7 linked regions of the Canis lupus familiaris genome follow. The protein of the gene in region 2 binds, or shares a complex with, the protein of the main gene of each other region. Links are inferred from orthologs where the notes say so. Each region holds a gene or a part of one and is shown on either strand. Other genes may lie near its edges. The genes, in order: MEAF6, RUVBL2, MBTD1, WDR92, ING3, PDRG1 and MORF4L1.

What was found.
Region 1: RUVBL2 (region 2) and MEAF6 share a complex: the UniProt entries of both Homo sapiens proteins name them as parts of the nuA4 histone acetyltransferase complex. The link is inferred for Canis lupus familiaris from reciprocal best matches to the Homo sapiens genes RUVBL2 and MEAF6.
Region 3: RUVBL2 (region 2) and MBTD1 share a complex: the UniProt entries of both Homo sapiens proteins name them as parts of the nuA4 histone acetyltransferase complex. The link is inferred for Canis lupus familiaris from reciprocal best matches to the Homo sapiens genes RUVBL2 and MBTD1.
Region 4: RUVBL2 (region 2) and WDR92 share a complex: the UniProt entries of both Homo sapiens proteins name them as parts of the PAQosome complex. The link is inferred for Canis lupus familiaris from reciprocal best matches to the Homo sapiens genes RUVBL2 and DNAAF10.
Region 5: RUVBL2 (region 2) and ING3 share a complex: the UniProt entries of both Homo sapiens proteins name them as parts of the SWR1-like complex. The link is inferred for Canis lupus familiaris from reciprocal best matches to the Homo sapiens genes RUVBL2 and ING3.
Region 6: RUVBL2 (region 2) and PDRG1 share a complex: the UniProt entries of both Homo sapiens proteins name them as parts of the PAQosome complex. The link is inferred for Canis lupus familiaris from reciprocal best matches to the Homo sapiens genes RUVBL2 and PDRG1.
Region 7: RUVBL2 (region 2) and MORF4L1 share a complex: the UniProt entries of both Homo sapiens proteins name them as parts of the nuA4 histone acetyltransferase complex. The link is inferred for Canis lupus familiaris from reciprocal best matches to the Homo sapiens genes RUVBL2 and MORF4L1.

Annotation. Positions count from the first base shown.
Region 1 is NC_049236.1:5,020,047-5,023,755, reverse strand, and holds part of MEAF6 (chromatin modification-related protein MEAF6), read right to left. Parts: intron 797-3,709; coding exon 709-796; intron 554-708; coding exon 508-553; intron 1-507.
Region 2 is NC_049222.1:108,064,992-108,068,700, forward strand, and holds part of RUVBL2 (ruvB-like 2), read right to left. Parts: coding exon 3,627-3,709; intron 1,848-3,626; coding exon 1,718-1,847; intron 1,554-1,717; coding exon 1,487-1,553; intron 1-1,486. UniProt on the Homo sapiens protein: Possesses single-stranded DNA-stimulated ATPase and ATP-dependent DNA helicase (5' to 3') activity; hexamerization is thought to be critical for ATP hydrolysis and adjacent subunits in the ring-like structure contribute to the ATPase activity.
Region 3 is NC_049230.1:26,972,909-26,976,617, reverse strand, and holds part of MBTD1 (MBT domain-containing protein 1), read left to right. Parts: intron 1-1,012; coding exon 1,013-1,160; intron 1,161-2,015; coding exon 2,016-2,098; intron 2,099-2,556; coding exon 2,557-2,791; exon of another isoform or gene 2,792-2,915; intron 2,916-3,291; coding exon 3,292-3,369; intron 3,370-3,709. UniProt on the Homo sapiens protein: Chromatin reader component of the NuA4 histone acetyltransferase complex, a multiprotein complex involved in transcriptional activation of select genes principally by acetylation of nucleosomal histones H4 and H2A.
Region 4 is NC_049231.1:68,525,251-68,529,572, reverse strand, and holds the start of WDR92 (WD repeat-containing protein 92), read left to right. Parts: upstream 1-1,512; 5' UTR 1,513-1,836; coding exon 1,837-2,019; intron 2,020-4,322. Other genes in the region: RNA-binding protein PNO1, read right to left, coding at 451-600, 1,103-1,315. UniProt on the Homo sapiens protein: Key assembly factor specifically required for the stability of axonemal dynein heavy chains in cytoplasm.
Region 5 is NC_049235.1:59,197,558-59,201,947, forward strand, and holds the start of ING3 (inhibitor of growth protein 3), read left to right. Parts: upstream 1-1,462; 5' UTR 1,463-1,524; coding exon 1,525-1,552; intron 1,553-1,799; coding exon 1,800-1,871; intron 1,872-4,390. UniProt on the Homo sapiens protein: Component of the NuA4 histone acetyltransferase (HAT) complex which is involved in transcriptional activation of select genes principally by acetylation of nucleosomal histones H4 and H2A.
Region 6 is NC_049245.1:21,881,845-21,885,676, reverse strand, and holds the end of PDRG1 (p53 and DNA damage-regulated protein 1), read left to right. Parts: intron 1-1,706; coding exon 1,707-1,787; intron 1,788-2,362; coding exon 2,363-2,445; 3' UTR 2,446-3,297; downstream 3,298-3,832. UniProt on the Homo sapiens protein: May play a role in chaperone-mediated protein folding.
Region 7 is NC_049224.1:58,626,743-58,630,451, reverse strand, and holds part of MORF4L1 (mortality factor 4-like protein 1), read left to right. Parts: intron 1-115; coding exon 116-202; intron 203-619; coding exon 620-700; intron 701-3,709. UniProt on the Homo sapiens protein: Component of the NuA4 histone acetyltransferase (HAT) complex which is involved in transcriptional activation of select genes principally by acetylation of nucleosomal histones H4 and H2A.

The sequences.
Region 1 (3,709 bases), on a different chromosome or scaffold from region 2:
GTATTCCATCACCAGACCTTAGAACAGAATTAGACTGGATGGCTTACATAGAATGATACAATTTCTTTACAAAGTAAATACTATCTACCCTATGTTTTATATTTAAGAACACATAGGTACATTCTGTTCACAGGATCAGATTTTCCTAAGAATTATTAAAGTGGGGACATGGAGAGTTATCAGATATGTCTGAAATTAAAAAAAAAAAAAAAAAACAAAAAAAAAACAAAAAAAACTCCCTAACACTTATCAGCAGCAAAGACATATCTCTGTGTCTTTGAATAGCTACAGTCAACCTCTGCATGATAGAAGAGGCTAGAGGGACACGGTTTCTTCCTCCACAACAACAAAAAGACAGGATTAAAGAGACTTAAAGGTTTCCCTAACTTCTAGAAAAAAGAGGCAAGAGTATAAGAGATGTAGTCTTCAGAGACATAGTCGGATAGGAGGTAAAGACAAACCTAAAAATGAAATAATAAAGAAGTTAAAAAAAAAAAAAAAACTTACTCTTTTCAATGAGCTGATCCTGAACTCCTGCCAATGCACTTACTGCCTAAAAGAAAAAAAAAAGAAGAAACCTGTTACTAGAAAAATTATCACAGACCTCCGGAGAGCCCCCGGACAGCAGGGAGAAAGGGAACTAGCAGAAATTTAACTGAGGGGTTTCTCCCCAATGGGCCACAGAAAGATTCCCCCCACTTCACTTACAGCTGCCGAAGTAACTGAGGATTTACTGAAGAGTCGCTCAGCTTCCTTAAACTTCCGGTTCCTTCGGTCGTTTTTGCTATTGGAGTTTCTAAAACACACACAAGAAACTCATAAGCACCAAGCTGAATCTATGGCTCGAGTTGAGGATGGCCCAGGGCACAGTAAGGAACTCTCTCACTGTCTTTTTTTTTTTTTTAAGTTACGAGCTTTCAGACAGAAATGCCTCCACACCTTCTGGAGTGACCGACAGGACCCTAACGCTAAATGCCCACCCAGACAGCAACGGTTTCCAGCGCATAGGGGGGTGCTCCACTGTGGGACATTACTTCAGTTGGGTCACTGTCATTAACATTTTCATATGTATTTGATACTTATTATTAAAAACGGCTAGCATAGACTAGTGATATGAAATGGTTTTGTCAGATAAGCTTAATGTAAAAAATGTAATGAGGGATGCCTGGGTGGCTCAGGGGTTGAGCATCTGCCTTTGGCTCAGGGTGTGATCCCAGGGTCCTGGGATCGAGTTCCCATCGGGCTCCCTGCAGGGAGCCTGCTTCTCCCTCTGCCTGTCTCTGCCTCTCTGTGTCTCTCGTGAATAGGGAAAAAAAAACTTAAAAAAAATTTAAAGAACAAGCCAGGGTTCCTTAAGGAAATGGCTGGTCTCAGTTCTGGGATAAGAAAAGGGCAAGGTGAGGCTAAGAGACCCTGCTAGGACAGAAAGCAGCAAAATGCCTGAAGACTAACAGAGTCTAATAGGGTCACATCAGCAGGACAAAGGAGGCTTCCTCTGGCCATATTTGGGACAAATCAAGCACTGGAAAGGATAATGATGGGTGTGTTTGCTTCGTGAAAAGTCATCAAACTGTATGTTTATGACGTATGTGCTTCTCTGCATGTATTTCAGTAAGTTTATAGCAAAAAATAAACCTCCACAATAAAAAAGTAACGGTACTAGATTCCCACACACTGATTTTTTTTTTTTTTTAATCACTGGTCCTGGGGCACCTGGGTGGCTCAGTCGGTTACATGTCTGCTTTCAGCTCAGGTTGTGATCCCAGGGGCCTGGGGGGCTCTCTGCTCAGTGGGAAGCCTGCTTCTCCCTCTCCCTCTGCCTGCCACTGCCCCTGTTGTGCGCACTCCCTCTCCCTCTCTCTCTGTCAAATAAATAAAAATCTTAAAAAAAAAAAAAATCCATTGGTCTCTAGTGATACTAAAGAGAGAAGGCCAGAGATACAGAACGAAAGGGCGAGAAGATATGAAGGGAAGATTCTTCTTTCTGAATACCAGTGATCCATGTACCAGGACGAGTAAAATCAGAATCCACAGTACATCAAATGAGTCGGGTAAAAATCAACAATGGATACTAAAACCACTGAATAAAAATTTGGAAAAGCGGTATATTCACACTGCCTAAAAGTACAGCCCCCAAACTACCTATAAATTACAGAGAACAAATAAATTTTTACAACGGAGAAATCATATGCTCCATCTTTGTACCAATAATGGGACAATCTGACACTATGTGCCTCCCAATAAAATTGAGGTAAACAACACACCAGGCATACAAATCATTTATGCAATATTTTCGCCAAAAATCCTTAAAGGATCTCTCATCACAAAAGGAAAAATCTGGAATTGGAACATTCTGCAAGACAGTGTCACGAACAACTTTACTGCCAAAAAGGGTGGGGGACTCTCTTAACTCTCTTAAATGAAGAGACAAGAGAGACATAATAGCCAAATATTGATACATGAACACTGAAGGGATCAAAACAAGGTAGCAAAGCATGTCGGGGACAATTAGGGGAATTTGAATAAAGACTATAGTAGATGATACTATTAATGTAATGCAATTTTCTATATGCATTAATTGTGGTTAGGTAAGAAAATATTCTTCTTCAAAAAAAGAAAAAAAAAAAAGGGCAGCCTGGGTGGCTCAGCAGTTTGGCGCCTGCCTTGGGTCCAGGGCGTGATCCTGGAGGCCCGGGATCGGGTCCCATGTCAGGCTCCCTGCATGGAGCCTGCTTCTCCCTCTGCCTGTGTCTGCCTCTCTCTATGTATCTCTCATGAATAAATAAATAAAATCTTAAAAAAAAAAAAAAGAAAAGAAAATATTCTTAGGAGGTAAATGCTGACATAATTAGATAGCAAAGTGTCGTGCTATCTGCTTAAATGGTTAACAAAAAAAAGTATGGAGGAAAGGGATGATATAACTATAAAGGGGTAGCAGGTGGGAGATCTTTGTGGTGATGAAATACTTCTGTATCTTGATTGCAGTGGTGCACGCAGGTGGTGCACGCAGGAGTCTACACGGCAGTGACAATTACACACACACATACACATTGTACCAATGTCAGTTTCCTGGATTTGATATTCTACTACAGTTACATAAAGCCCAACCATCGGGAAAGACTAGGTGAAGGGTACACGGGACCTCTGTAATATTGCTGCAACTTCCCATGTATCTGTAATGACATCAAAAATTTTTGACTTTTTTTCTTTTTTAAGACAGAGAGAGAGGAGGGGGAGGGGTGGAGAGAGAGAAAGAAAGAGAATCTTAAGCAGGTTCTATGCTCAGCATGGAGCCTGACATGGTGCTTGATCCCATGACCCTGAGATCATGACCTGAGCTGAAATCAAGAGCCAGATGCTTAACTGACTGAGCCACACAGGTGCCTCTAAAAATTTTAAGTATAGATATGGGTATGTGGGGATCCCTGGGTGGCTCAGTGGTTGAGCACCTGCCTTCGGCCCACGGCATGACCCCAGGGTCTCGGGATCGAGTCCCATGTCAGGCTCCCTGCAAGGAGCCTGCTTCTCCCTCTGCCTGTGTCTCTCATGAATAAATAAATAAAATCTTTAAAAAAAAAGTATAAATATGTGTATGTTTATATACATTAGAGAGAAAGCAAATGTGGCAACATGTTAACAACTGATGAAAGCAGGTCACGGGCATCAAGTGTGCACAGTACTATTTCAATGTCAAACCTGAAGATGTTTA
Region 2 (3,709 bases):
ATTTTTATTTTATTATATTTTAAAGATTTATCGATTTATTTACATAATCTTTACATCAGAGGCACCCGGGTGGCTCACTTGGTTAAGCATCTGACTTTGGCTCAGGTCATGATCCCGGAGTCCTGGGATCAAGCCCCAGCTCTGGCTCCCTGCTCAGCAGGAAATCTGCCTCTCCCTCTCCCTGTGCCCCCACTTATGCTCTCTATTAAAAAAAAAGAAAAGAAAAAAGAAATCTTAAAAATGGGCAATCTTGACTAATGCATGGGAATGCATTGCTGGGTGATAAAACCAATGACACCCAAGAAGTGAAAACAGGCAAGGGCAGCCACCCTTGTGAGGATGTGGGGTGTTGTAGAAAGAGCAATGAGGTAGGGATGGGAGCTGGCAAAGTTCTTTTTTTTTTTTTTTTCTTCAAAGTTCTAATTTCTTATCTTGGTGGTAGTTCTAAGGAGATTTGTTTTATAATAACATACTAGACCATTCGCTTATTTTACGTGCTTCTTTACATCTGTTGCAATTTACAACAAAAATGTTGGGGCATTTGGGTGGCTCCGTGGTCGAGCATCTATCTGCCTGTGGCTCAGGTTGTGATCCCAGGGTCCTGGGATCGAGTACCGCATCAGGTTCCCTGTGAGAAGCCTGCTTCTCCCTCTCCCTATGTCTCTGCCTCTCTCTCTCTGTGTCTCTCATGAATAAATAAATCTTAAAAAAAAAAAAAAAAAAGTTAAAATTCTTAGCTGAAAAAAAAAAAAAGGGAGCAAATCACCATGACCATGTAAGCTGGATAGGAAACACCTTTTAGGGCTAAGCTGCATAAAATCTCACAGAACAGGTTCTTAAGCCTAACCATTAACTGTGAGATGAACACTAGGTGTTTACCATGACATGTTGGCAAACTGAATTTAAATTATTTTATTTAAGATAAATTTTAAAAAAGAAAAAGAAAGAAAGAACGAACTGTGAGAGGGACACCTGGCTGGCTCAGTGAGAACAGCATGCAACTCTTGATCTTGGGGTCATGAGTTTGAGCCCCGCATGTTGTAGGCAGAGATGATTTAAATAAATAAAAGTTAAAAAAAAAATTTAAGTGTGAGGAACTTCCAGACCTTCTCTGTCATGACACCACTTGCTTTTAACGGCTCAGGGCGTCACTCACAAGTGGATAAACTGGGGCGCCTGGGTGGCTCAGTGGTTTAGCGCCACCTTCAGCCCAGGGCGTGATCCTGGAGACCCAGGATCGAGTCCCGTGTCAGGCTCCCTGCATGGAGCCTGCTTCTCCCTCTGCCTGTGTCTCTGCCTCTCTCTCTCTGTGTCTCTCATGAATAAATAAATAAAATCTTAAAAAAAAAAAGTGGATAAACTGTCAATGACCCCCACAGTACACAGTAGAGGGCTCTGACCTGCAGCTCAAACATCCAACATCCCTTGGGTTCTGGCACCCCATCCTCCAGCCCTGGAGGTGGCCCAGGCTCAGCAGCAGACTCACCGTCCCTGTGGCTGGACGGTCAATCTGGATCTCCACCACTTCCCCTTCAATGATCTCAGTCTCCTCCCTAGGCGGAAAACGGATGTGAGCAGAGAGCCCGAGGCCCAGGCCCTTGCAAATGGCTAACTCCCATGAGCCCTTAGGCATGGGACAAGCCGGACAGGGCAGGCAGGGGTCATCCCAAGGCCACTGCAAGCTAACTCCATCCCCCACACCGGGTCCTGTGCTTACTTGATTCGAACGCCAATAGAGCGCCGGAAGGCCTGGGTCAGTGCCTCTGTCTTACTCATCTCCAGCGAGAAGATCTCACTGCCCGCGATGGCTGTGAACGGGGTGTCAGGGCCCAGGGCCTGTGCCATGCCTGGGGAAGAGGTGGTCTGGGTAAGTGGGGACAGCCTGGCACCAGGTCCCCAACACCTATTCTGTGTCAAACCAGCTCTTCTCCCTCCTCAGGAAGTAGCGTAGGTGAAATACACACAGTGTTGGGGGCAGACAGGGAGACATGGAGAAAGCCAGGGATGGCGGGCTACATAGAAGACCTGGACTCGAACCCCATGCTGACCAGAAGGTCAATTTCATGACCCTATAACCTCGCCAGGGCTTTAGAAGTTGTTTAGCCTTTTAGGCTTGGGGGTAATGAGCAGGAATCAAGGCCAAAAGAGGACTGAAAGAGTAGTTAAGGGTGGTGGCTCTAGAGCCAGACCACCTAGGTTCGAATCCCGGTTCCACCGCTTAGCACCATGTGATCCTGAGAAGTCTTGTCTGTTTGTATCTCTGTATAATGAGGACCACAACAGAACAAGTGCTGGTGTGGGACCGCACCTGCAGAGAAGCGATCTGGGGGTGGCAGGCATGCACTGGTGCTCAACCATGAACCCATCACATGACCTGTAACCAGCCCAGGGACAGGTCTTCTGTCTGGCCTGGGGCTGGCCGGCAGACACCGGGGCTGACCTTGCAGTCACTCTAAGCACCACGTCAAGTCTCACAGACAGGAAGTCACTGGACCCTTCTGACCAGTAAGAGGTGGAAATTCTTCCTGGTCCCCTTTCCAGACATGTGCCACACTCTTGCCTGGATAGCCCCGTCCCATATTGCGTGTCCAGAAGACTCCCAGACACCCTGCAAGTCTTAGCTCAGGGCCTGACTTCTCTGGGAAGTCTCTCCTGACAACTGCCATATCACATCCCTCCCTGCTCCCTCATGTCATGTTAATGTCCCATAGTGTCGCAGCAGAATGTAACCATATGATTAAGTTCTAGTCAATAAGATATAAGAAAAAGTATGGGGCAGATATAAGAAAAAGTATGGCTCAGCAGTTTAGTGCCACATTCAGCCCAGGGCCTGATCCTGGAGACTTGGGATCAAGTCCCGCGTCAAGCTCCCTGCATGGAGCCTGCTTCTCCCTCTGCCTGTGTCTCTGCCTCTCTCTCTCTCTCTGTGTCTCTCATGAATGAATAAATAAAGAATCTTAAAAAAAAAAAAAAAAAAAAATTATGTGGGGGTCCCAAGACAGCTGCTTAACGGGAGCTAACTACTTTTAAAGGTAGGGAGGTACACCCTCACTGCAAGATCTCTTTCTCCTTCCTCCTACATGGGAGTATGGATGGGAAGGCCTGTGCTCACTTCGGCAACACATATACTAAAAAATGGACAGGAAGGCCGAAGCTTAGGCAACCCTCTTGGAACATGAGGTGACTCTGCCATAAAAGTACAGAGGAGGGATCCCTGGGTGGCACAGCGGTTTGGCGCCTGCCTTTGGCCCAGGGCGTGATCCTGGAGATCCGGGATCGAATCCCACATCGGGGTCCCGGTGCATGGAGCCTGCTTCTCCCTCTGCCTATGTCTCTGCCTCTCTCTCTCTCTCTCTGTGACTATCATAAATAAATTAATTAATTAATTAAAAAAAAAAAAAAAGTACAGAGGATATTGAGGTAGAAAGGTGAATACTTGATGGAACAGCTCAACAAGCCCTAAGTGGCTTATGTTCAGATTCTTCTATGTGACAGAATGAAGCAGAGCATTTAAGTCTCTGCCATTTTGGGCTGTCTGTTGAATGTGGCCGAACCCAACCTTGATTTACACAGAAAGGATTAACTGGCAGGGACCAGAAGAGCTCCTGCCCTGAGAGGCCTCTTACCCATGGCGATAGCCGTCTTCCCAGTGCCCGGCTGGCCAGCGATGAGCACAGCCCGCCCAGCGATCTTCCCTTCCCGGATCATC
Region 3 (3,709 bases), on a different chromosome or scaffold from region 2:
GAAATGTAAGGGTTGGAGGTAAGAGGATGCCACCAACAGGACCATCACCACACAGGAGAGGTGGAAAGATTGGCCAGTAAACTACATAATGAGAGTCAGGGAGAAAACATTTTAGAAAGCTGAGAGTAGTCAGCAAGTATGAGATACTTCAGGGAGGCTGAGATTTGAGGAGGGTAAGTGTTGCAGGAAAGGCAATAGATCTGACAAACTTGGTCACTGGTGAATTTAGCATTGTAGAAGGTTTGGGACAGAAGTCAGACTGCAAAGAGTTACATAGAATATACCTGGAAGTGGATCTCTGGGTAAAGTATGTAGAAGTTCATCATACTGTTGTACCTTTTCTGTAAATGTGAACTGTTTCAAAATAAAATATTTTAAAATTGATAGTGAAAGACATTAGAGTATAAGAAATAGTGTTTGTGGAGCAAAGTTCCAGCAGTAATAGGACATGATGGAAAGGTTTGTGTTGGGGGTAGGGTATTACATCTCAAAACAGGGGCACGAAGAAAGGAGTATGGGGACCCTTGCGCAGGGTGGCCTTAGATTCTTACACAGGAGCATGGGTATCTGTAGCATAAGAGAGGTAAAGTGGAGGATTGGTAAAGGTGGGAAAAAGTTTGGAAAAAACCCTTTCTGCTAAATCAGAAGGAAAGTTATACTGAGTAGGACTCAGAACCCTACCGAGACTAGACAGTTAAATTGGAGAGGAGCACTGGGCCCTGCTTCATGGGCCACAGCAGCCAGCACCTTACTATTGGCAAAAGGCACTGTTTGTCCTAGACCTCCGAAGTCACTTCTGTGTAACCCTGCTTTTGTTCTGGTACACACCGCAATCTGTGGAGGTTTCTCGTTACTATTTCAGTTACTAACACAATTCAGTGAAGAAGCATTTTTCACTTTTAAGAGACCTTTATGTAATACATTTTCCTTTCTTTTAGAATGTCACTTAAAGGATCACTTTTATAGTAGTGATATCTAATTTCAAATACTTGGAATTCTCTTCATTGAAAAGGTGCTGGCTGATGGATTCCTGATGATTGGGATCGATGGCTCAGAAGCAGCAGATGGATCTGACTGGTTCTGTTATCATGCAACCTCCCCTTCGATTTTCCCTGTTGGTTTCTGTGAAATTAACATGATTGAGCTCACTCCACCTAGAGGTACTTCATCCTATATGTACACTGGGTCATCATCCTTGCCCTCTTTTTTTTGCGTGGTATTTACTAATATCATTTAACACAGCCCTGGATTTTCTACTCTGTGAACCTATGATACATGTGTGTATGTACATTTAAACGTACATACCCATACCAAGCGCTGAGGGGTACTCTAAAAATATAAGGCACTGTATTCTAGCTAGCTTTAATAAATTACATTAGTATATAAGTTTTCCTGAGCATCTGTACATTTTATAATATGAATTGGTATTCTCTAAGCCCTGTGGAGATGGCGATGTAGGTAATTGTACACATGAACTTTTGTTAAAAATAGATACATGCTAAAGCCTTTGAGGGAAAGCAAGTTTCCATCTTTAGAATATCATGTGGCTTAAAAAAAAAAAAGACTTACCCTTAAATAGCTTTCAAGGCTTAACCAGTGTCTTTCCTAATTTCAATATCTGAGCCTCGTGTTTTTCTCCTAAGAAAAGAACAGAGGTCTATAAAAATAGTATTTACCCAACCAGTTTTCTTACTTGAAAAGAAAGAAAAATATCACTGTGAAATATGAAATGCTATACTCTCCTACGTGTAGGATTTTAAAAGCAAAGGTCTGTAAAAGGATTGAGACACTTTTGCGTTAGGTAAGTAGGTGCACCTGTGTCTGTCTAGAAATGGAATGAAATCCTTATAACACAGAAGAATGACTGCATTTGACAATATTAGAGCAAGAGTTAAAAGTTTATTATAAAATCTAAAACCTGAGATCTTAGTGTGTAATGAGTCAGTTTTTTATCTACATTTTAATATTTTGCTAATTTTAAATGAACTGCTGATTAAATCAGGTGTGTTTTTCAGGTTATACAAAACTTCCTTTTAAATGGTTTGACTACCTCAGGGAAACTGGCTCCATTGCAGCACCAGTAAAACTATTTAATAAGGTAAATTTGAATAATGGCATAATATGTACAGCTTTTTGATGCCTCACAAATGCAAATCATTGTTGATCAAAATGTCTTTGGTTTATATTAGAAATTCTTTTTTTATTTTTATTTATTTATGATAGTCACTATATGAGAAATTATTAATGGAAATTAGTATAAACAAACATATTTATAGTAATAAAACAACATATTTTCTTTACCTAGGAAATGAAGCTTATTTTCAAACTTTGCTTCATTTTTAATCTGAGTAAAATAGAAATGAATACATTTCCTAATCAGTTCTTAAATACTTCTCACCTACATATGTTTTAATAACTAAAGAATCATTTGCAATTTTTTTGGTTTAAATTAGGTTATCTGGTTATGTTGCTTTTTTTCTTTTTTTCTCTCTCGGTGATTGTGAACTCATGCATTCTTTTTTTCACCCATGGTAATATTCTGCTTCTCTGTGTCAGGATGTTCCAAATCACGGATTTCGTGTAGGAATGAAATTAGAAGCAGTAGATCTCATGGAGCCACGGTTAATATGTGTAGCCACAGTAACTCGAATTATTCATCGTCTCTTGAGGATACATTTTGATGGATGGGAAGAAGAATATGATCAGTGGGTAGACTGTGAGTCCCCTGACCTCTATCCTGTAGGGTGGTGTCAATTAACCGGATATCAGCTACAGCCTCCGGCGTCACAGTGTAAGTTGGTATACAGAAAAGGTGTCCTTTTGTAAAAATCCGCAATTCTCCAGAGGACTGTTTCACATAAGTCATCTTGTGAGCTCACAGGACAAGAATATACCTTTGTCTGATTGGTTGCCAGGTAAGATCTTAAGACTCAACAACAATATCACAGAATCAGACCATGAGTACCACAGCAGTGTGAACTCAGTAGTCAATTACATGATGACTATAGAAAGAAACCCCACAGTAAGAGTACCCACCAAAGTCATCTAGACTTGTTTTAATGAGTTTGAAATTACAGGCTAACATTTACTGGCATATAATAAGTTCTTATTGAATAAATAATGGAATCTGTCTGGTGTCATGGGTTTTACAGAACAAGCGCCCTTATTTTCAAAGCATCTTGTACTTTTTTAAGTATAATGGCCTTGGTAAAGATAATTCATCTTAAATTGTATTTAGATTCATGTGTTTGCAATGCTTACTTGGTACCAATTTTCCATTTTATTTTTCAGCATCAAGAGAAAGCCAATCAGGTTCATCAAAACAGAAGAAAAAGGCTAAGTCCCAGCAATACAAAGGACATAAGAAAAGTGGGTCACCACATGGTGTTTATATACATTTCCTAAGTTGTTAACCAATTGGGGTCACAGTATTCTTGCATAGAAACTAATATCCCTGTGAGAACCTATGACTGTGCATTATGTATTTTGCTTAAAGGTGCAGTATGCCATAAAAGGCAAACCTTTTCAATAAACAGAAACTCTTACATTTTAACGGACAGGAAAAATTATCACCATAATATTTTAAAATATATATGGTAAAGAATACAGTACAAGTAGTTCTTGAAATAATATGTAAACCTACTGAAAATTAATCCTTTTTTTAATCTTTTAAAAAAAAAAAGTTAAAGAAATGCTTGATATTTACAAC
Region 4 (4,322 bases), on a different chromosome or scaffold from region 2:
CGGGAGCCCGACATGGGATTCGATCCCGGGTCTCCAGGATCGCGCCCTGGGCCAAAGGCAGGCACCAAACCGCTGCGCCACCCAGGGATCCCCATTTTTTTTTTTTTTGAAGATTCATTTATTCACGAGACACACACACACACACACACACACACAGAGAAGCAGAGACCCAGGCAGAGGGAGAAGCAGGTGCACGCAGGGAGCCCAATGCTGACTCGATTCGGGGACCCGGGGTCACGCCCTGGGCTGCAGGCGGCGGGATGCCAGCCCGATCCAACGACTACTTGGGTTGAATGCATGCACATTTTGAAGACTCCTCCGTGTGGCCATTTAACAAAACAAATCCCCGTTAAACGAAGTCTATTCACGCCTTCTCACCCCCGCCCGCAGGAGAGCAACAGACCCCGACACATTTGGGAACATTTGGGAACTGGCTGACATCCTCCTTACCCTAATTTCCACATTCCTCGATTTCAGGTTAAACCGTATCTGAAGCCCCAGGTGCTCTACGATGGGCGTGAATATCTTCATCCAGTTCTCTTTTAAGGGCGTGTACCTGTTGGCCGGGACGGCAATCTTCCTGGTTTCTTCTTTCCCACCCTAGGATCAAAGGACACGCAGGTCAGGAGATGCCCCGGGGGCCGCAGGTGCAACCCTGAGCGGGCCGTCCTTCCCCAGGACGCTTGGGCTCGACGGATTAAAACCTCCTGGCGCAGAGCCCCAGCTTGGAGGAATTCACTAAAGATGCCCCGGGGGATGCGGGGGCGGGGCCACGAGGCGAGGGGGCGGGGCGAGTGCGGAAGGGGCGGGGCCACGAGGCGAGGGGCGGGACTAGTGTGGAAGGGGCGGGGCCACGAGACGAGGGGCGGAGCGACAGGAGGGGGCGGGGCGGGCTCAGCGGCTTGGCGCCGCCTTCCGCCCAGGGCGTGACCCCAGGTCCCGGGTTCGAGTCCCGCGTCGGGCTCCCCGCAGGGCGCCTGCTTCTCCCTCCGCCTGTGTCTCTCATGAATTAGCAAAATCTTAAGGACTTCCCTCGGGAGCAGCCCCGCAGCTCCGGCAGCACCCGCAGGCCCCGGCCCCGCCGCGCGGTCCCCGCTAGTACCAGGACTCCATCCCCGGCGAGGGGCGGGAATACGGGCCTCTTCGCGGGCCGGGCCTCCTCCGTGTCCATGCGGCCCGCGTCCGCGCCCTCGCCCGCCGCCGACAGCTGCTCAGCCCGCCGTTTCTTCGCCCGCCGAGCACCCCTGCGGGCGACCGGGGTGAAGCCGTCCCCGGCCGCGGCGCTCTGGGCGTCCATCTCCGTCTCCGCCTCCATCCCCGCGGAGCTCCGGCGCCAACATGTGCTTCCGACCCCGACGCGGGCGCCGCTGCACTGCGCAGGCGCACGTCGCGGGGGCGGGGCTGCGTCGGCCAACGAGCCGCAGGGCCCCGCCCCGTGCCCTCGGGGTCCTGCAGGGGGCCTGAAGCGGGCCGGCGGAAGGGAGGACGCCCCAACACGTGCCTGATTCCCGGGGCGCCGCCCTGGCTTCGCCGGCCGCAGCCGGGGCCTCGGGCCTCCCAGCGTGGGTGTGCACGGGAGGCAGCAGGTGAAGACGGGAGCCGAGTGCGTGCCGTCGGGGAGGAAACGTCTCCGCGACTTGAGCAGCGCGTCAGGCACGGCCGCGGACGACTACACCGACCGGCCGGGGCGCCCGGGGCGGCTACGGCGAGCGGGAGGGGGAAGCTGTCGTTGCTGTTTGGGGTCTGGTTTCCCGGTTAGCGCTCTCGGGGCGCGCCGGCGGGGCCGTGGGGCCGGGGGCCGGGGGCCGGGGGCCGGGGGCCGGGGCGGGGGGCGCCATGTCGGCCTTCGAGAAGCCTCAGATCATCGCCCACATCCAGAAGGGCCTCAACTACACGGTGTTTGACTGCAAGTGGGTGCCCTGCAGCGCCAAGTTTGTGACCATGGGCAACTTCGCGCGGGGCACCGGCGTCGTCCAGCTGTACGAGATCCAGCACGGGGACCTGAAGCTGCTGCGGGAGGTGGGCGCGGCGGGGACCGGGGCGGGGGGGGGGTCCGGGTCCGGGTCAGGGCCGGGTCGGGGTCCGGGTCCGGGTGCGGGTTGGGGTCCGGGTCGGGGTCCGGGTTCGGGTCAGGGCCGGGTGGGGGTCAGCGTCCGGGTCGGGGTCCGGTCGGGGTCCGGGTCCGGGTCGGGGCCGGGTAGGGGTCCGGGTCGGGGTCCGATCCCGGTCGGGGTCCGGGTCGGGGCCGGGTAGAGGTCCGGGTCGGGGTCGGGGTCCGGTCCGGGTCGGGGTCCGGGTCGGGGCCGGGTAGAGGTCCGGGTCCGGGTTGGGGTCCGGGTCGGGATCCGGGTCCGGGTCAGGGTCCGGGTGGGGGTCCGGGTCGGGGTCAGGGTCCGGGTCGGGGTCCGGGTCGGGGTCGGGGTCCGGTCCGGGTCGGAGTCCGGGTCGGGGCCGGGTAGAGGTCCGGGTCCGGGTTGGGGTCCGGGTCGGGATCCGGGTCCGGGTCAGGGTCCGGGTGGGGGTCCGGGTCAGGGTCCGGGTGGGGGTCCGGGTCGGGGTCCGGGTCGGGGCCGGGGTCCGGTCCCGGTCCGGGTCCGGGTCGGGGTCCGGGTCCGGGTTGGGGTCCGGGTCCGGGTCCGGGTCAGGGTCCAGGTCGGGGTCAGAGTCCGGGTCGGGGTCCGGTCCGGGTCAGGGCCGGGTAGGGGTCCGGGTCCGGGTCGGGGCCGGGTAGGGGTCCGGGTCGGGGTCGGGGTCGGGTCGGGGTCCGGGTCGGGGTCCGGGTTCAGGTCCGGGTCCGGGTCAAGGTCAGGCTCCAGGTTGGGGTCCGGGGTCCCGGTCGGGGTCTGAGTCCGGGTCAGGGTCCACCGCTGAGTCCCGTCCCGTCCCCGTCCCCGTCCCCGTCCCCGTCCCGGGCTGCCCTAAACTGCTGTTTGATAGAAGCAGAAGCCGAGGTGCCTGCGTAGGTGGCGGAGGCGCTGGCCCGGTGTCCGGTGTCGCAGGCACGTGAATGACAGCGTCCCCGCTCTCGGGCGTTTACTTTCCAGCGGGGGAGCCACGATCCGTTAAATAATCAGGCCGAGGATGCATAAATACAAACCGACATGAATTCTCTACCATAAAGGAACACGGTTCTGCGAGAGTAAAAGAAACTGGGGCTCGGGGGGCTCCGCGGTGGAGCACCTGCCTGGCCCAGGGCGTGACCCCGGGGTCCTGGGATCCAGTCCCACGTGGGGCTCCCTGCGTGGAGCCCGCTCCTCCCTCTGCCTGGGTCTGCCTCTCTCTCTGTGTCTCATGAATAAATTAGATCTTAAAAAAAAAAACTAAAAACAACTGGAGAGCATCTGCTTGGACGAGGCAGGTGTTAAACTGTCAGCTAAAGGATCAATACAGTTTGGATCTGCAGGCTTGGATTAGAAGGTACATGAGATCCCGTCTAACTGTAAATTTCTCCGAGTGCTGGTTTTCTCGTTCAGTTTGTCTTTTCTTGCCGAGTACTTGGGTCAGAGTTCCTAAGCATGGCTTGGTCGTCTTCGCCTTGTCTTCTGTGGTTCACTGGTTAGCCCCCAGGCACCCGTTGCTGTTTTAGGGTCCAGTTCGGATGACTTGATCCCCACAGGAGCACATCCTGACACTGCATTCCTCGGGTACTTAGGGTCCGCTCCAGAAGTTGTGTCCCGTTTGTCTCTAAGTAGGTCGTAAGCTCCTGGGGAGTAAGGGTAGTGTGTTTCATGAGCGCGGCTTGTAAGGTTCAGCCGCTCAATAAATTACCTGTTAAAAGCACGAGTGTACGTATACCTGTAAAAGGATGTAACTTGGAAAATTTAAATAATTGGTTTATGGATCATTAACCAACAGGTGTCAGGGTTTGAACAACTGGGAAACCTTGGAATAGGAGACAGAAATTTACAGGTGAAGCATTAGGAACAGATACCAACTACCGTCACATTTAACCAGAGAGCATTTGCAGACTTGTGGCTTTGAAGGTAGGATTTGTGCATATTTCAGGACTACACTCGTTCTACAAGGCGAAATAGGGCCCTTTGTCTCTATCTCTTGGCAACCTATGCCAAGACACTATGCTGAAGAAGGGCCGAGGTACTCAAGGGACGAATCCCTTCTTCTAAAGAGAGGATAAAACTAGCGCAGAAATACTTTTAAGAACTTGGATTACGTTTGGCTGTGATGGTGCAGTGGGAAAGGCTGTAGGTTTAATACAGGCTTGGTGATTCCCAACCCTTACTGTGCATAGGATCAGCAGAGTGCGTTCTGGAGGTCGGTGGGGTGGGTGTGTGTGTTTTAAAATATTCACGCCATGGTCCCAC
Region 5 (4,390 bases), on a different chromosome or scaffold from region 2:
GGTTTGAACTTTTTTTTTTTTTGAATGGTAAGAAGGAAGGAAACAAAGAAATGACTATGGACCTAGATTCACCACTGAGAAACCACAGAAATATCCAAGAGATCTTAAAGGCAGCCGGAAGGAAGGAAGGAAGGAAGGAACGAAGAAGGGAGTGTAGGAGGGAGGAAACCCGAAAATCCTAGATTTTAGATAAAAGTACAGAAAGTAAACTAGGTAATCATTAGAATTGAGGTGGGTTTCCCTTGACATTCACCAACACGACAGGTGAGCATCCTGACCATGAGCGGTGGAAAAAGTCTTGGGTAGAAGAGGGCGGAAGGGAGAAAACTCAAAAATGCATCAAATGTCTCGACTCCAATTTGAAAAAAAAAAAAAAAAAAAGAAAAAAAAAGTGAAAATAGAACACTGAATGGCGAACTGAAGACACATTTCCCAGGAAAACGAACAGAGAGCTAAGGCAGGTGGGAGAGAAAGATGCTCTCGACCTGTGCTGCGTGCAGATGTTCTTAAGAAAAAGAAAACTGAGCCGTGAAGGACCGAATCCATCACGGGGCGGGGAAGGGGTCCCGGGGTAGAAGATGACCCCTCCCGCGGGTGTAGACAGCTGGGGGCGGGCTGCTTACTCAACACCGCCTGAAGTCATTCTTAGAACAGCTCATTCGACAGCAGCAAGTCTCCATCCGTTATTTCTGCTTGTTCTCTAGTTCTGCTTTTTTTTTTTTTTTTTTTTTTTTTTTTGGTGGGTGCACTTCGTGCGTTCAGCTCGATGACATCACGGTGACGACGAGCCGGACCGCGGAATAAAAGCAGGTAAAGAGCGCGTGGAGGGCGGCCACCCGTCCAGGTGCAGGAAAGCCAAGCAGGCGCCTCGTGGGTATTTTGAGCAGTCGGAGACTAAGGATGCGTTCCAGCCAGGAGTTCTGTCTTACACAATGCGGATCGCCCGAACTCCGCTGGCCGTTCCGGCGCTGGAACACCTTCCACCTGCCCCGCCCGCCTGGAAACCCGCGACTCCCAGCCGCCGGGGCCACCGAGGCACGCCGGCCGGGAACAGGTGGAAAGTTGCTCCTACTTGGGTTCCGCGGGCGCCTACAACTCCCGTCATGCCCCGCGCCGGCATCAACAAATAAACAGAGGCACCGCATTTCGGATTCCGCGGCGCACGGGGCGCAAGGCCGCCTGGTCTTCGTAGTTGCCACGCCGGTAACCGCCGGGCGCGCCGATCCTCGCCGTGGGGGGGAACCGGACTACACTTCCCACAAAGCCGCGCGGGCGGACTCCGGCCGGCTGACGTCATCGCCCCAGCCGGCCAATGACGGCTCCGGGCGGCAGTGAGGCAAGCGCCGTCAGGCGCCAAAGTGGTTTTTTTTTTTCTTTCTTTTTTTTTTTTTTTTTTTTTTTCCGCCGAAGCCGAGCGGGTGCTGCTAGCGGAGGCGCCATATTGGAAGGGACAAAACTCCGGCGACAGCGAGTGACACAAATAAACCCCTGGACCCCCTCGTTGCCCCAGCTCTAAGGGCCGCGATGTTGTACCTAGAGGACTATCTGGAAAGTGAGTGGGCGGCGCTGGCGGGGGCCGCCTGGGGGACCCGCGGGCGGGCGGGCGCGCGAGCGGCCGGGCGGGCGGGATGGCGGGAGGGAGGGGGAGGCGGGGGATGTTTCTTTCTCACGGTAACTGGCAGCCGGGCTGTGGGCTGCCGGCTCCTTCGCCCCCCCCACGCACGCACGCACGCACGCAGTGACGTCAGCGCGCCCTTCGCCGTTGGCCCCGCCCCGCTGACGGCCTCTCCCTTTGACAGTGATTGAGCAGCTGCCCATGGACCTGCGGGACCGCTTCACGGAGATGCGCGAGATGGACCTGCAGGTGCAGAGTAAGTCGGCGGTTCGCCCGCCCGGCCGCGCGCGGTCGGGGCCAGACCTTCCACCGACGTCGTCGCCTCTGCTCTCTGACTCTCCTCCGGCTCACGGGCTAGTGCATAAGGAGTCGTTTAAAAAAAAAAAAAAAAAAAAAACAAACGCCAAAAAAACCCCCCCAAAACCATAAAACCACACACACACATACACAAGGCAGTGCCGCATCTTGCCTCTTGCTGTCCACGCCGCTTCCCCCTTTGCTTTTACCCGAGGAGGAGGCGCTGGGGCCCGCGTGTGTGTTTCTTTCCCGAATTCAAGACTGGGATAAAAGTTTCTGTGCCTCGGGGAGGACGTAGACACATGCTTTTAACGCACGTCGGTGTAGGTGTGGAGAAGATGGTGGTTTCTGGCCCGAGCCCTTGCGTCCGGAACGTAGATTTCGGCATTTAGACTTCTGCTGAAGTTGGTTCTGCTCAGAATTTTCTGCAGAGCGGAAAACCCAGCAGCCTGGGGGTTGGTGTGGCTCTTTAGTGACCCCGCTGAACTTGGAATGTCGAGTCTTGCAAAGCCGCACCTTGCAGGATGCATTCCCACCCGCCAGCAGGATGATGCTATTCCCCCCCCACCCCCCCCATGAAAACGAGTGAGGAAAATAGACCTTCCTGTAAAGCTGCTTATCTGTTGCAATAAAAGTGATGACTTCTCATCGATCAGTGGTAGCTTGGTAGTCTGGTTCCTTCCCCCTACCCACCCACCCCCCCAAAAAAAATTAACCGTTGTTCTTTCATAGAGCAGTATTTGGTTTATCCGATTGTTTTGTTTTGTTTTGTTTTTGTGAAGGATTTGACTCAAAGCAAGGAAAGAGTCAGTGCCTTGGAAACGAGGAGGTCAACACTTGGAGCAAAATCACAGTTAAAACGAGTACGAATTTACGCCTGTCGTGCTCTGAAAGAACCTCACAGGCCTTCTCCCCCTTTTATGAAATGAATGTAATACAGCCGTTCCGGTTCTCTTGCAGGGATACCATACTGTGAACTACGAGTGCGGAATGAATTACACGTTACACGATTATTTTATTTTATTTTTTTTTTACGTTACATGATTAAAATGTACAATGGGGTGTGCGCTTAAGCCCGGATGTCACCCTCTCTGTAGATGTAGGCTTGGCTGCCAGCAGCGCATCTCGTCTAAATTGATCTAATGTTTTTCTAATACTGTGGATGACATGAGATAATGCAAATAGCCCGTTGACCTAGGTCCTGAAGACCGTCCAACAGATGGTCTTGGAGGCTGTTGGAGCCTGAAGATGGCTCCAACAGAGCAGGGGCTGCCATGGTTACTGACCTGCACTGAGTAGTTTTTATCCAGAAATCAATTAAAGTTGCATTTGTTACTTTAAACAAAACAAAACAAAACAAAAAAACTTGTGCAGTTGATATTAATGGCTGGCCTTCATGCGGTCTGTCCTCAAGAAAATACGTGCCTTGATCCCATTTATTCTAGCTGTGGTTAGGCTATCTACGTAAAATGTTTCTCATGCCACTAGGTTTTTTTTTTTTTGTCCTCGAAAAGTAGCGGTGGAGGAGGATCTGGGTTTGGGGGTATGACTGGGGGGAAAAGGGTATCATGGAAAGAAATCAGAGACCCAGCATCCCTGAGGATCCTGCAGCTCCTGAGGGCCTGTCCTTTCCCCCGTGCTTCCCCACCCCACACTCGCACCCCACGCTTTCATACCCACGGGTGATGAATATAGGTTCCTGAGCCTCTGGTGCGTTCCATGTGGCCATGCGGCATACAAGGTGATGGGCTACGGAAGCCTTCTTTATGTTCAGTGGGTCATAGTGTAGGAGTCTGAACTGTGTGTTTCTTTAGCTTGCCCACAAAATTCATTTTGACTGTCATGTAGTTGAAATGCTAAAGTAGCGTTTTCTATGGGACTGAGCACAGATCTTGATGTCAGATAGATCCGAGTTCGTATTAGAGTTTTGCTGACTTACTCTTTGACCTTGACCGCATTACCACTTCTGAGGGGTTTTCCTTGTCTATAGAATGGAGATCATCTGAGGATTTAAAATAACACAGTTAAACTAGAATTTATAGTATCTGATACAAAGCAGAAGTTCACGAAAAGGTGACTTATTTTTGCTTCGTTATCATTACAAATTTTAAATTCTCTTGTGATTTGTAATTGGATTATACAAATGAGAGGTTTTATTTTTTTATGTTTTTTAAAGATTTTCTTTAAAATCTTTGAGAGAGAGCACACGTGGGTGCAGGCACACGAGCAGGGGAGGGGCAGAGGGAGAGAGAGAAGCAGCCTCCCCCGCTGAGCAGGGAGCCGACTGGGGTTGGGGGCACCCAGTCCCAGGACCCTGAGGTCATGACCTGAGCCAAAGGCAGGTGCTTAACCAGCTGAGCCACTCAGGCGCCCCAGATGAGAGGTTTTATACACTTGCATTTTATAACAACTAGAATTTTCTAAAGTTAATAGATCCTATAGATTGATAAAAGAGACTTCTTTGTAAAACAAGTTAGA
Region 6 (3,832 bases), on a different chromosome or scaffold from region 2:
AATTGAGCTAAAACTGTATGTGTACTTAGCCTAGTGCTTGTTTAGCAGTGAGGAACGAGCTGGACCACAGATAAAGAAAACCCAAGTGGAGGCTTAAAGAAATACAGTTTTGTTTTTCTTGTTAGTAGTTGTCCAAAGGTGGGCAGTCTAAGACTGGCACTGAGATCCAGCAAGGTCACCCTCATGTATTCTCATAGTGGCTGTGTCATCTCAGGCCTCATGTCCATAGGCCAGGCTGCAGGAGCAACAGAGGGCTTTCCATACATGGCCTTGCTTTCTATTTCAAAATAATGCTGTCGTCCTCAGAGACTTTTGACATCTCATTGGCCAGAACTAAGTCATGTGGCCACCATAGCTGCAAGGGAGCCTGGCAGAGGCACTTTTACTTTTCACATCCCCTGCCATAGAGATTGCACTGAAAATGGAGGTTTGAGGAGAGTGAGCCTCTAGAGTGTGCCACAGCCTGGGTACTTAGCATGTTACTCAAATCTTCGCAGGCATGATCCTGGGGGCTCTTTGGAGGAGCATCATAAAAGTACAAAAGGGAGGGTACAGATGGGTCCTTGGCTGGAAAAACGAAAGATTATGCATATTCCCCCATCAAAAATGTATGTGCCAAGAGGACCAGCAAGTTCGCCTCTGTCCCTGAAGGCAGAGGCTCCCTATCCCTGTTGAAATAAAATTATAGCAAAGGAGACTAGATCACCTTAGAGAAGTTTCCACCTTCCTGTTGAAAAAATACACACTACTGTTATGACTATAAAATTAAGAGTCGTCATTGCACTTGGGTGGTGGGCTGCTGGCCACTCAGGTTCTCAGCTGTCTTGGCCCACAGTTGTGGGTTGTTGCCATACCTAGAAGGATTCTGAGATATTATCATCACCAGTTCTTAGGGGTTGATGCAAGTTAAATAAGCTTGTAAGAGACTAGCGTTGCTCATTTACCATGAGTACTAGAACCATTGCCCAGGCCAGAGGGCTCGGCTGCTCAGAGCTTCTCTCCATCAGAAAGAATGAAAATCTGTGGAGAAGACCAACTAGCCAGCACTACACTCATGAGCAGGTGAAGTCAGGTGACATTAGGCAGTTGCATCACCAAGCTTTGTAGCCTGTACTTCCTATAGTGCAGTTTGCCTTCAGATGTGATCCATCTGGGCAAGATAACCTTTTCTGTTCACCACAGTTAATTAGATTAAGCTTGAGCACCTGATTTGCCCATTGATTGTTCAGATCACATGTTACTATGGTCATGTTGCTTAAAAACTGCTTAGGTTTTTGATGGACTTAGGTTTGTAAGATTCCTTAGCCACACTTTGTCCAATCATCTTGGATGTGCTGAGTCTAGGTTCTTCATTCTGGTCTGATGGTTCTGTTTTCTGGAATTTCACTGTGGGAGGGGGTCCTAAAGTCCAGATATTGCCTTCTCCACCTATGAGCAGCCCAGGGTACATTGCATAATGAAAACAGGTCACTGGATGGAGAGGCGGGTGCTCAGTTCTGCCTGGACTCACTCAGCCGCCTTGGGCAGACCACCTCCCTTTCTCTAGCCCTTTAGTTCCTTCCTCAGTTGGTCTCTGAAGTCCCCTTCTTCTCGAATGCCAGGAGCCCTTGCTTTCAAGGAGGCTAGGAGAAGCTGACTTCCCCAGCTGCCTTTGGTCAGTGTGTCTGTAGTATAACCCCATCCGGTGCCCACCTCATTTTTTTCAGATCAGGATCATCTGGATAAAGAAATAGAGAAACTCCGGAAACAACTTAAAGTGAAGGTCAACCGCCTCTTTGAGGCCCAAGGTATGGGCCTGGAGGGAACTGGAAGCCGGGCTGGGAGAGAACTGTCAATGTGGGAGGCCTTCCTAGGTAGGCGGGCGAGGGCCTAGGCAGCATGTGAGCCGCACAGAGGCTATTGGCAGGCCCAGAGATGGAATGGACAAGGTTTATGGGGTCTTATTCCTCTCACGAGTCTTTTTTCCAGCCATAAGGGGAACAGTCTGGGGTATCTCACATTATATCCTGGGCGTGGTATAGGAACCAGAACAGTTCTGTCTGAGGGGAACAGAGAGGGCCTCAGTCAGATGGTCAAGGTCAGAGCTGAACTTCTGGGTAAAGCTAACCACTCCAGATTGGTCACAGGTTTGGCAGAAATTGGTAGGTTTCTGGGCAGCAGTATCATGGCTCTGCAGGTTTTCGGTGACTCATGTGCCCTGTCCAACGCATTGCAGAATTTGAGGCCCTCCCCCACTAGATCTTGGGCCAAGTGTTTGGCACATGAATGCAGCATAAACCCCTTTCCTGGGCCTGACTCCAGAGCCAGCAGGAGGTTGGACAACAGGAGGCCCAACTTGCTGATGATTGTTTTCTCCCCCTAGGCAAGCCAGAGCTGAAGGGTTTTAACCTGAGCCCCCTCAACCAGGATGAACTTAAAGCTCTGAAGATCATCTTAAAAGGATGAAACTCAAAAACCAAAATGAGGGATCTAAGACAGCATCCCCCCTGAGGTCATGGCGGACCCAGGACTCTCCAACTTTGTAACCTGCAAGGACATGAACTACTCTGCTAGGAGATAGGCATCAGGAGTCTGAGCATGAGAAGCCTCTGTCTGTGGGGATTGGCTGCTCTGTGATGGCAGGAGGGAGCCCTCAGCCTGCCAGTGTCTGTTGGGTCTGGCCACTGGAGTTGGATGGACACAAGACCCATTGATAGGTCCTGGCAGCCACCAGTGGTGGGTGGGGGCAGTGCTTTGGGGGTGTGAGAATGACCGAAACAGGCACTTATAACAAGAGCCTGCTGTTCACATGGGCCCCTGGCAGTGGCGGGGGAGTGACGGGGAGCATGATTCCTGCATTCCTTTCAGGAAGAGAGGCATTCTCAAACATCATGTAATGGACTTGGAATAAAGCAGGAGGCTCACAGGTAGGTGGTTTCTGAAAGGATAGAATCTTGGTGCTCCATCGTTCACCACAGCCATCTGTGGGGCAGACATACCATTCCCCACCACTGCCTCCACTTTGGCCCCTTTTTTTCTGCTTGCCCCTCAGATGGAGCCCAGAGTGGGTGCTGCTTATCAAACTCCTGCACTTGCTGTTTAGTCAGGAAAGCCTTACAGAGTTCTGTACTGGGGGTGGGAGAGGGAGCTGCCTCTTCATGAGGCCCTCCACCACCTCTGAAGGCTGGGCCTGGCCAGCACCACTCAGTTCCCGCCTGCCCTCAGTGGTCTCGGATCTTGGTGTGAATGTGCTGTGAGGACAGCACCATCTCTTTAATGTTCATTGAGGGCTTAATAAATGTTTCCTAAATGAATGAACAGGAGCTTCTGTTCTTTACCTAATCTCATTCTTAATGGAGGGCACACTGCCTCAAGCACACCACTACAAAGGGGCAGTGGCTCCTGCTGGGAAATGATAGCAGGATTAGATAGGCAGTAACAGTGATGGCGGCAGAATGGAGAGCACGTGCCTCACCTGGGTCCCCTCACCCCACTTGGCTCCAACCCATAATTATATGGAAACACAAGCTGGTATGGCCAGATCTTAACATTTGTTTTCAGAGAAGCTAGAAATTTGGATTTTTAAGTTGAATCTTTTCTGTCTTTTAAATATTGCTAATGCAGACATTTTTAAAGACTTGGGTGTTGGCCAAACAGAATACCTGACATAAGCCAAATTTGACCCATGCCTATGATTTTACATCTTCAGTTTTTAAAGTAGAAGTAGCATGTGTTTTCCCCATGATGACCCTAAAGTGGGCAGGTGGAATTGGAAGCTAGATGTCTGCCCATAGTAGATTAGTTAAACGAACTGATAGCTGCAGACAGTGGAGTACAGTACATATATCAAGAA
Region 7 (3,709 bases), on a different chromosome or scaffold from region 2:
TTTGTCAGAGAAATCCAAAGTCTTACCTCTTGAATCTCTAAAAAGTAATTGGTGGACAGAATCTAAATAGTAGTAAAAAATAATTTTGAATGATAATTTAACTTCTCTTTTTCAGTTGGGATGAATGGGTTCCAGAAAGCAGAGTACTCAAATATGTGGACACCAATCTGCAGAAACAGCGAGAACTTCAAAAAGCCAATCAGTAAGTTTTGCAGCACGAGTATGAGAAATGAGAAATGTCTATAAATTTAATTTTGAGAAATGGAAAAGTAGAAATCATGTTGGCTGCCTGCCTAAAAAATGATTCTTGGTACCTATCAGCTGCTGTGTGTTGGGGCTTTAACTTCGAGCAATCAGAGAAGCCTTTTCTAGAAAAAAGGAGTTGTTAGCATACCGGTCATTTCTTGAGTCTGTCCATAGAGTTAGGTAGAAAATAGCAGGATGTTGTTGGAATTCCTGTAGTTGCAAACTCACTGTGATCTTCCTTCCTGATTCTATTATACTTGGAAAGGGACATGGGACGTCAGTTTGAATATAAATCTCAAATGGAATCAAGGTGGCACGATTTACTTTTCCACATACTCATTTAATGACAACTTTATTGAAATTATTTTTGAAGGGAGCAGTATGCAGAGGGGAAGATGAGAGGGGCTGCCCCAGGAAAGAAGACATCTGGTCTGCAACAGAAAAATGTTGAAGTGTAAGAAGCTCTCTTTGTTTTAATTTTGCATATTGTTTTATACGTGAAATTCAAACTCAGTACTCATTATCATGTTTTAGGATTTATTGAAAATGGAAATTGGAACATTTTTGACTTGAAAAATGCCAATGAGAATCGCATTCTCAAGTGTTGGGTTGTTGAAAATAGGTGATAATTAAATACTCCTTAATTTCCCTTAGGTTTTTGTACCACCCTGCCCCCTTTTTATTATGGTGAAATATATGTAACTTAAGATTTACCACTTAACTCCTTTTTAAGTGTATAATTCAGTGGCATTGAGTATTTCCACAACCCTTACTTTTTAAGATGTATTTGTGCATGTATGTTTTTTAGAGTATTATCAGTTGGATACAAGTCAGGTAAGGTATTTTTTGGGTAGATTTGGTTCTCCTCTAGCACTAAAAATAAATACTAGTTTAATTCTTCTCTTGAAACCCATGGTAAGAATGTGTGAGATGTTAACAGTTTCAAATTACCTGTCCACCCCATGGGAGAGGAAACATTTCTTGTTAACTCTTAAGATTTAGAATATCTTGGTAAAAAAAAAAAAAAACTGTGTGGAAGTCATACACATATGACAAAAACTTTAATCAAAAGATCATTTGGGATCCCTGGGTGGTGCAGCAGTTTGGCACCTGCCTTCGACCCAGGGCGCGATCCTGGAGACCCGGGATCGAATCCCACATCGGGCTCCCGGTGCATGGAGCTTGCTTCTCTCTCTGCCTATGTCTCTGCCTCTCTCTCTCTGTGTGACTATCATAAATAAATAAAAATTTAAAAAAATTAAAAAAAAAACAAAAGATCATTTTATTTCTTGTGATTTGATTATTCTCCTTTAAAAACAGGTAGTTTAATGAGAGGTTGTATTCTTGTCAAAGGATCAAAAGTGACAGTGCTCTAAAATATGATTTATCAAAGAAGTTTTTCCTTAGAATTATATCGTATTGCTTTACAGTTAGCGGTCTGGTCTGACTTTACTACCTAAATGTGAGATGTTAGTCATGAAGGTAATTAGACGTTTGGAAGGTTGAGGTGATAATTGATGGCCAGGGAGTGGGTGTGCCACTGAGGGTGTCCTGTAGCTTTCATTAATAAACAATAACAAATGATGCAGTTTTTTGGAAAACTGCCATGTGGTAGTATTCATTAGGGTTTTAATAGCAAGTGAGTCTTAAAAGTCAGCAGTTTTCTCATATGGGAGAATATGATGGATTTATATCAATAAAATAATACATATTTTTTAAAAGATTTTATTTATTCATGAGAGAGACAGGCAGAGGGAAAAGCAGGCTGCATGCAGGGAGCCTGATGTGGGACTCGATCCTGGAACTCCAGGATCACGCCCTGAGTGGAAGGCAGATGCTTAACCGCTGAGCCACCCAGGCATTCCAGTACAATAATATTTTTGATATGTTAATCCTTTATCATGTTAAAAGTTGGTGTAGAAAATTAGTCTACATAGTAGTAGACTTAAAAACTTAGTATTTGAATATAAAGCGTACATATAAAAATGGTTCAGTAATTACATGAAATAAAGTTTTATTTATTTATTTATTATTTTTTAAGGTTTTTATTTATTCATGAGAGAGGCAGAGACACAGGCAGAGGGGGAAGCAGGCTCCATGTAGGGAGCCCAATGTGGGACTCAATCCCAGGTCTCCAGGATCAGGCCCTGGGCTGAAGGCAGCACTCACCGGCTGAGCCACCCGGTTGTCTCTGAAGTAAAGCTTTAAACTCAACTTTCCCTTCCTTGGAGAATTGGGACCTCTTCACATTTATGGACTCCTGGGTCCTTTTGAGGGCTTCTAGGTGTTTTGGGTCTTCTGTGTCATCAGGTAGGATAAAGGTATATTCTAGGATCACCTGGTAAATTTTGTGCCCTAAGACCTGGAACTTCCTTTTTCTCCAAGAGCCTTTATTAGTAGGAAAGATGACATTTTATTGAGCTCATTATCTGGGTGGTTAGAGAAGACCTCAAGTAATTTTTAGCATTGCTTTTCCCTAGTAGAATAGCAGGTATATTTTAAAGTATATGGAAATAATGAGTAATTAAACCTGACAATATTTTTCCCCCATTTCTTTCATTTTGATTTGAGTTTTGATACATTTTTTTGATACAATTTTTAATGTTTGGTTTTATCCTACTTGATCTTTAGGGTTTAGTAATTGTTCTTTTTCTGAATATGCATAGAGAAGTAAAGTAAACTTTGTTAACATCTTGGTCCTTAAACTTTTTTTCCCTAAACTAATAGTGAATATGCGTGATGTTTGTTAGTACTTTGGCTTCAAAAGGTTGTGCTTTGGTTCATTGTTTAGTGGAATGGCTTTTCTTAAGAGTGACTTAGGACTTCTCTTATTTAAATTGAAATCTAACAGCTAATATTTTGACTATATACTTGGTCATAGGGCTTAGAGAAAGAAACAGCACTAGCAGTTTATTGTAGGAAATTTTTGCAATATGAGAAAGCTTGCTTTTTTTTTTTTTTTAATTTTTTTTTTTTTTTTTTTTTTAATTTTTATTTATTTATGATAGTCACAGAGAGAGAGAGAGAGAGAGGCAGAGAGAGAAGCAGGCTCCATGCACCGGGAGCCTGATGTGGGATTCGATCCTGGGTCTCCAGGATCGCGCCCTGGGCCAAAGGCAGGCGCCAAACCGCTGCGCCACCCAGGGATCCCTTTTTTTTTTTTTTTTTTTTTTTTTTTTGAAAGCTTGCTTTTTAATTAACTGTAAGCAAGAAGGTTGAAGCAAGAATGTTCGTGATTCTTTGCTGCTGCGATTCATTTAAGTATAGTTTATAGATTATATAATTAGGGCCCATTGTCAGTGTTTTTCCTTTAGTTTTGTCATATAGAATAAGTGTTTAAGGAATGCCTGTCAGAGCTCTAGGTTTCTCCTAGCCACCACCTGTGTTCTTTTTTTTTTTTTTTAAGATTTTATTTATTCATGAGAGACAGAGAGAGAGAGGCACAGACACAGGCAGAGGGAGA